Cricetulus griseus: one gene and its partner. The protein of the gene in region 1 purifies or fractionates together with the protein of each later gene. This does not show direct contact. Links are inferred from orthologs where the notes say so. Each region holds a gene or a part of one and is shown in the gene's direction. Other genes may lie near its edges.

Evidence for each region. The genes of interacting proteins can lie anywhere in the genome.
Region 2: the proteins of Sin3b (region 1) and Sap30 purify together in Homo sapiens (affinity purification with mass spectrometry; 4 studies listed by BioGRID and IntAct, with this or other methods). This does not show direct contact. The link is inferred for Cricetulus griseus from reciprocal best matches to the Homo sapiens genes SIN3B and SAP30.

Annotation. Positions count from the first base shown.
Region 1 is NW_023276806.1:247,446,169-247,449,813, forward strand, and holds part of Sin3b (paired amphipathic helix protein Sin3b), read left to right. Parts: intron 1-722; coding exon 723-839; intron 840-3,231; coding exon 3,232-3,470; intron 3,471-3,645.
Region 2 is NW_023276806.1:235,757,388-235,761,718, reverse strand, and holds the start of Sap30 (histone deacetylase complex subunit SAP30), read left to right. Parts: upstream 1-1,412; 5' UTR 1,413-1,712; coding exon 1,713-2,027; intron 2,028-3,584; coding exon 3,585-3,710; intron 3,711-4,279; coding exon 4,280-4,331. UniProt on the Homo sapiens protein: Involved in the functional recruitment of the Sin3-histone deacetylase complex (HDAC) to a specific subset of N-CoR corepressor complexes. Capable of transcription repression by N-CoR.

The DNA of each region.
Region 1 (3,645 bases):
CCCGCCTGTCTGTTGGCCAAAACATCTTTATCCATCAACCAATAATAGAAACATATTCACAGTTTCTTTCTGTCAAGTTGACATAAAACTAGCCAGAACACCATGTGTGTTCAGGTGAGCCTTGGACAGTCAGGTTTGTGGGTAGTTCTCTTAAGAGGGGACTCGGGAGTCCCACTCAAGCCCAGAGAATTTATAGCCTGAGGATCTGCTGAGCACTGCAAAGCAAATTGGATCCACCACTTGTGTTGTAAGCACACTGGCATGCCTTTGTGGACATTGCCTCAGCCCACTTTCTTAGGACAAAGGCAAAGTTGGATATTCAAAGACAGCTTAAAATCTTTGTGGCTTGGGGCTGGAGAGATGGCTCAGTGGTTAAGAGCACTGACTGTTCTTCCAGAGGTCCTGAGTTCAATTCCCAGCAACCACATGGTGGCTCACAGCCACCTTGAATGAAATCTGGTTTCCTCTGTTGGCATGCAGGCAGAAGACTGTATACATAATAAATAAATAAAATCTTTAAAAAAAAAATCTTTGTGGCTCAAGGCCACCATGCGATGGTGCTAGGCCCTGAGACACAGCCTTGTATTCAGTACCACAGCCCTAGCCTGCTTGGCATCTAGAGAGTTAATCTCACTGAGTGGTGGGAAGTAACTGGCTGTGAGCATGGCTACTCATGTTGTCTGTACCAGCATGCTTAGTGACACTCCTCTCTTCTGGTCCAGGTCCTGAATGACACATGGGTGTCCTTCCCATCCTGGTCTGAGGACTCTACCTTTGTCAGCTCCAAGAAGACTCCGTATGAAGAGCAGCTGCATCGTTGTGAGGATGAGAGGTTTGAGGTAGGTGAAGCTGTGAGTCTAACCCACCTACACCCCAACCACCTGTCCTGCCTGCCATCTGTCCACCCAGCCTAGTGCCTTCATAGCATGGCCCAGTTCTTCAGTCTCTCTCTCCTCCCAGAGCTCCCTGCTTACCAGCTCTGCCAGCTCTTAAGCTCCACCCCCTTTCTTTCAACTAAAGATAATGCAGGGCTGGAGAAATGACTCAGCAGTTAAGAGTACTGGCTGCTCTTCCAGAGGTCCTGAGTTCAATTCCCTGAAGCCACATGGTGACTTACAACCATCCATAATGGGATCTAATGCCCTCTTCGGGAGTGCAGGTATACATATAGAGCACTCATACGTAAAATACAATTAGATAAATAATCAACTAAAAACAATTAGTTAACTTAAAATTAAGTTAGCTTTATTTATTGACATTGCAACTGAGCTCTCAGACCCCACTGAGTGCCCCTCTGGAGGACAGACAGACAACCACCCTTCTTATCCCAGAGTCCACGTCTTCTTTTTGATTCGGTTTTCTTTAAGGGTTTTATTTTATGTGTGTGGGTGTTTGTCTGCGTGTATATCTGCACCATGTATGTCTGATGCCTATGGAGGCCAGAAGTGGGCATAAGATCTCCTGTAACTGGAGTTTAGGACAGTTATGAGCTACCATGTGGGTCCTCTGGAAGGGCAGCCAGTTCTCTTAGCCAGTGAGCCAGCTCTCCAGCCCTTGGTTTTCTTTATGAAATTGGCTCTCTTTGTAGTGTAGGCTGGTGTACGACTTGTGATCCTCCTGCCTTAGCCTTCCAAGTGCTAGGATGACACATTCTCCACCCCAAGTTCCTAGGTGTATGTCTGCCCGTCTTTCTTTCTTTTTAAAGATTGTTTATTATGTATACAGTGTTCTGTATACATGAATGACCACACACTAGAAGAAGGCACCAGATCTCATTGCAGATGGTTGTGAGCCACCATGTGGTTGCTGGGAATTGAACTCAGGACCTCTGGAAGAACAGCCAGTGTTCTTAACCTCTCAGCCATCTCTCCAGCCCCCATGTGTTTCTATCTGATGCTACGACAAGAGTCCAATGGATAGGGCAACCACTGGGAAGTGGAATGTGAAGGCCCATATCCAGGGAAGCCTGTCTTTGATGTCCATAGTGGAGGGACACAAAGGAGGCTGATTGTGGTTTGTCTCCCCTTCCTGGGCAGTGCCACCCACCCATGAGGACAGGCTGTGCCTAGAGCACCTCTTTGAAGTCCTGTGTTTAAGATAAGGTTGTCGTGGAATGTATGGTCTCCTGCTTCTGCCTCCCATGTGCTGGGGTCATGGGCCTCTGCTAAGTGTGGCCTCCTGTTAATACTGCCACACCAACCTCTAAACTTCAGTGTGAGTTTGGGAAGAACAGGTCAGACTGTAGCAGAAAGTTTGTGTGCGCGCGTGTGTGTGCGCGTGTGAGCGTGCCTGTGTGTCTGTGTATTATGTGATTCTGTCACCAGATTCAATGCCTAAGCCACACAAGCCCCCTGATCTCTTTGCTGTTCTAATCATCAGTAGTCACACCCAGCCTGCCCCTCCCCTCCCCTCCCCTTCCCTTCCCTTCCCTTCCCTTCCCTTCCCTTCCCTTCCCTTCCCTTCCCTTCCCTTCCCTTCCCTTCCCTTCCCTTCCCTTCCCTTCTTCCCTTCCCTTCCCTTCCCTTCCCTTCCTCTGTGAACACCCTTTTGTCCCACCCTCTACTATTCCGTCATTTCAAGAGAGACAAGTACGTTTTGTGTGGGGCACATGCCCTTCTTCACAGCACAAAGGCAAGAGGAGTGCCTAAGTTCTGTCTTAGAAAGATGAAAAAGTAAAAAGGGACTGGAGAGAGGACTCAGCAGTTAAGAGTGCTGATTGACTGCTCAGCTGGGCGTTGGTGGTGATGGCGCACGCCTTTAATCCCAGCAGGTGGATCTCTGTGAGTTCGAGGCCAGACTGGTCTACAAGAGCTAGTTCCAGGACAGCCTCCAAAGCCACAGAGAAACCCTGTCTCAAACATAAAGCAAAAACAACAACAACAACAAAAGTGCTGACTTCTCTTGCAGAGACCTTGGTTCAGGTTCCAGCTCCAAGGGGTCTGACACCACCTTCTGTGCTCCAGGGGTACTATTCTCACTTGTACATACCCACACACTTATACATAGATGCAAAGTTAAAAATGAAGTAAGTCATAAGAAAGCCAGAAAATGAGTATAAAGTACAAATGATATCACTGAGTGGGTGATCACTGTGGTGCCCAAGCACCCTATTAGGTGGTAGGGCCACTTCGGTATCAGCAGAGTCCACCTCTCCCACACTTACTGGCTCCACACACCCCCGTACTGCCATGATGACCTTCACACACCACTGCTGCCTGCCCCTCCCTGCAGTTAGACGTTGTCCTGGAGACCAACCTGGCCACCATCCGTGTGCTGGAGAGTGTGCAGAAGAAGTTGTCGAGGATGGCACCTGAGGACCAGGAGAAGCTCCGCCTGGATGACTGCCTGGGTGGCACATCAGAGGTGATCCAGCGCCGTGCCATCCACCGCATCTATGGTGACAAGGCCCCCGAGGTCATCGAGAGCCTCAAGAGGAACCCTGCCACTGCTGTGCCTGTCGTTCTGAAAAGGTGTTCCCACCTTCTACTTCCCTCCCTGACTCAGGGCATTTTATAAAGGGGAGCTACCAGAGTTCCTGCCCAATGGTGTCACCTGACCCTGGCCCCAGCTCACCCCTCCCACTCTAGTGTTGAACAAAGTCTTGACAGCCACGCTCCTGGACACCTGTTGTGTTTCCAGGTGTAG
Region 2 (4,331 bases), about 12 Mb from region 1:
GAGAAAAAAATCAAACTTCTAAATTTTGTCAGTGGATTGGAAAATTGGTGACATTTAAGATCTGGGGGAAAAAACATAGGAATTATAAGACTAAGAAGTGTAACAAAACCCAAAAAACTATGGGTGAATTTTAGAGCAGAGTGGGCACACCTAAATAGAGAATGTATGACTAAGTGTAGGTTAAAAGAATCCAATGGAAATTTAAAACAAAACATAGCCACTGAAGATAAGGTAGGAAACACAAAGAGTACAGTAGGAGGCCTAACATATACTGAATTGGAGTCCCAGAGATGGAAGAAATGGCATGGGAAGGCATGAGAGCCTAGAATTTTCTAGTATTTGATTAAATATATTAACTTATAACTTAACAAGTACGAGAGAAAAATGACCATTTTAAATAATAAAAATGTATTCACCAATTTTCACGGCTGTATGAGAGTAGAAATTCACAGATAACACGGGCAGCTTTGAGTTTCTCCGTGAATCTGTCCTAAATCTGTTAGTAAATCGACTAAGTCTAAAACGGCTTTCTTTCAAAACTCCTCTACCTGAAATACATTATTTTCCTTTAATCATTGGGATAGCTAAACAGTCCAATAATTAGCATGACCACGCCCATCCTCCCACCCCTCCCACCGCAGGCTCAGGCAGGAATACACGCCTACGCGAGCACAAACACGTACCCAGGCGCGCTCCCGCGCTCCCGCACCCACCCACCCGCGACACATACAAGCATACATGTACGCATGTGTATGACTCAAGAAACGAGGTTTTTCTCTCCTCGTCCCCTACGGCCAGCGCTGCCAAGTTTCCGAGCAGTCCTGCAGACCTGGTGGCAGTGGGGATCCTTTAAAGGTTCTTAAACCCCTCCCCTCTCGGATCCGTTTGCGCGGAAGTCCAGGGCAGCAGAGGCAAGCAGCAGTCCGGCGCCTGTCAACCGGTTGGCACACGGGAAGTACACTGCGGCGTGGAGATGGAGATGCAGGACCCAGCGCCTAACGAATGCCAGATCGCCCGAGTGTTTTCCATAAAGAAGAAACAGCCCACAAACTTTTTCTCACTTATTCCCTAGTACCCCACCGCATACACGCACTGTTTATGTTTCTTCCCAGGAGTCGGCTGGCCGTCTGAACACTAACTTTACGAAATAACAGGAGCTAAAAACAGCCCTTGCTCGTAGGAGATAAAAGAGGCGAGAAAATACAGTAAAGCCTGACCTCATACTCGGATTTGCCCGGTGCTTGGAATGGAAAAAAGAAAAAAACCTCACGGGTGGCTGGCCGCGCGGTGTATGCTGGGATTAGTAGTTCGTCCAGCACGTAATCAGAACGGAGCGCAAGTGGGCTCCGCGACCGAGAACTACTATTCCCGTGGGGCCGCGCGGCGGTGGAGGGGCGGGGCCGGAGGAGGGGCGTCTCACTCGCGCAGGTCCCGGGGCTGGAAGGAGGCGGTGGAGCCGCGGTCCAACTGCTGAAGTCTCCATGTGACAGTGAGTGGGGTCCCCTTTTTAGGAGCCACTCCACTCCCGATCACAGTCCCAGGAACCCGCCGCTATTCCAGCGCCCACAGACCGACAGGCCCGGGACTCTGGGCGTCGGACCGTGCCGCCGCCACACTTGGGGTGCGGAGTGAACGGCCGCCCCGGGGAAGGAGGCGGAGCGGCGCGGCGAGCGGGGCTCTGTGGCGGCGCCGGCGCCCCCGAGCTGGCAGACATGAACGGCTTCACTCCGGAGGAGATGAGCCGCAGCGGGGACGCGGCCGCAGCCGTGGCCGCGGTGGTCGCTGCTGCAGCTGCCGCCGCTTCGGCGGGGAACGGGAACGCGGCTGGCGGTGGGGCAGAGGTACCCGGTGCTGGTGCGGTATCGGCTGCTGGTCCCCCCGGAGCAGCCGGTCCGGGCCTCGGGCAACTCTGTTGTCTGCGGGAGGACGGCGAGCGGTGCGGGCGCGCGGCTGGCAACGCCAGCTTCAGCAAGAGGATCCAGAAGAGCATCTCGCAGAAGAAGGTGAAGATCGAGCTGGACAAGAGTGTAAGTGGCAGTGGGACCGCCCTGCCCAGCCCTTGCCCTACCCTGCTTGCCCAGCCCGGTCCTTGGCGGAGGCTCACGAGTCGTCGGGACCGGGCTGCAGGTGGGATTAGTGGGTTCTCCGACTGAAACAAAGTCGCTGCAACTCTGGCCACCTCCCCCGGCGCGCCCTGGCGCAGTGGTGCAGGTCCCCTCCGCCCCTACCCCGACTCCGGCCGCCTCGCGTCTCTCCCACTCCAGGCTTCCCTCTTCCTCCTTTGCTGCGATCTGGAAACGAAACAAAGGGAACCAACCGCGTTACCGAGAGCCCAGAGTAGTTTTCTTGTAGCCGGGCAGCCCCTTCTCTGGAATGGAGGCGCCTTTGTTTTGCTGCCCGAGCCAGCGTCTGACCCCAGGGAGTAGCTCCGCTCCTTTAGGGAAAGTCGAGTCTGGCAGGAACCCACGTCGCAGAGAAGGGAAATCTCCCCCCTGCATTCCCCTCGATATTGTTTCTCTTGAACACGCAGAGGGAAGCCGAACTCACCAGTGCCTTACTGGGAGGTGGTTGTAAACGGTGTTTGCGGTGTCAGCTCTTCGTGCAGCTGCTCCGAACCGAGGCTGCAAATAATCCTCAGTGGTTTTACAGCCCACTTGGCAGCCATCGGGATTTTTTTTCCCGTCTTTATGCACGTTTGCTCTTTGGGCCAGCTATGAGGTTTCAGAGAGATCCTTTGCTACTTTCCAGAGCTCTGGCTGGTGGCAAATGAAGAAGAGGATACAGAGCCTCCACACATCTGTATATTTTTTAACTTGCTCTTAGCTTAGTAGTCAATTTAAAAGGCCCTTAATTGTGTAGCCTTAAAGGGGGGAGGGGGAGACTGTCAATCAGCTCAGTATTTCCAATCGCTCATTATGTAACTCTCAAATGCCTGTGTAATTGTTTGAAAAGTTTGTGTTTCTGTTTAAGCCGTTTTTCAGTAGGACCCATGAGAAATGTTGCAAGTGAATGTGAATAATTTCTGTGTTCTTTAATTGAAAGCAACACAGTACAGATAAATACATTCATTTAATTCTTACAAAGAAATGTTAGTACTTGAAATTTAAACATAGGATATGAATTCAATAGCGCATTTGTAAAAATGCCTAGTTAGTATCTGTGTGGAATTTGACTAATTAGTAAGATTAGGAAGCATATACCTAACATTAGGAGCATTAATATGATTTGCTGCTCTCAGATTAGAGAAAATTATCACCTCTTCCCTTGTACCTTCAAAATCAACGGGAGCTAATTTATTTAGGTCATCCTCAATGCAATTTGATGACAAACCCCAGAGGGTTGGAATTTCTCTTCCTCTGTCTGCCTGCCTTCTCCCATGGTACCACTCTCCTTCCCCTCCCCTCTCCCACAAACAGTATTGCCAGACTGCTAATGTTAGAGTCAGGTAACCGGTTTGGAAAGGAACGTTACATTGTCTTAACAGTGGCCCGCTTAGACTGTTCAGTCATTCATCTGGGCCTATGTGTTTTACTAACACAGAGATGCATTGTTCTGTATTCACTGTCTATGAAACTTTGTTTCAGGCAAGACATCTTTATATTTGTGATTATCATAAAAACTTAATTCAGAGTGTTCGAAACAGAAGAAAGAGGAAAGGGAGTGATGATGATGGAGGAGACTCACCTGTTCAGGACATCGATACTCCAGAGGTAGAGCAAAGTTTTATTATGTTAAATGTAAATCATAAGCATGCTGGCAATTCCAAAGCCTTTATGTAAATATTTGAATTAAGTTTTAAATGTTTAAAGCATCTGACAAATCTCAAAATTAAATACAATCAGTTAACATGTATTTATACTAGCCGGGTGGTTGGGTGGTGGTGGTGGTGGTGCAGGTGCATGCCTTTAAACCCAGCATTCGGGAGGCAGAGGCAGGCGAATCTCTGTGAGTTCCAGGCCAGCCTGGTCTACAAAGCTACACAGAGAAACCCTGTCTCGAAAAACCAAAAATAAATAAGTAAATAGAATAAAACATGCATTTATACTACTATTAAATCTCAGGTGACAGTTCTTGTAGCCCTTGACCTATAACTTCCTTTTTTTTTTTCCTCTAAAAGCTTACACTATGTATCCCCAAAAGGTGAAACTAATAAACTCTAGATCTGACTGTGGAAAAGAAATTGTTCTTGTGCTGAAGTGGACATTGCCCTTTGCTTTACAGATCAGTGATATCTTTTCAGCAGAGTGAACTATGTTACATCTTAATTTTTTTTTTCTAGGTTGATTTGTACCAATTACAAGTAAATACACTTAGAAGATACAAAAGACACT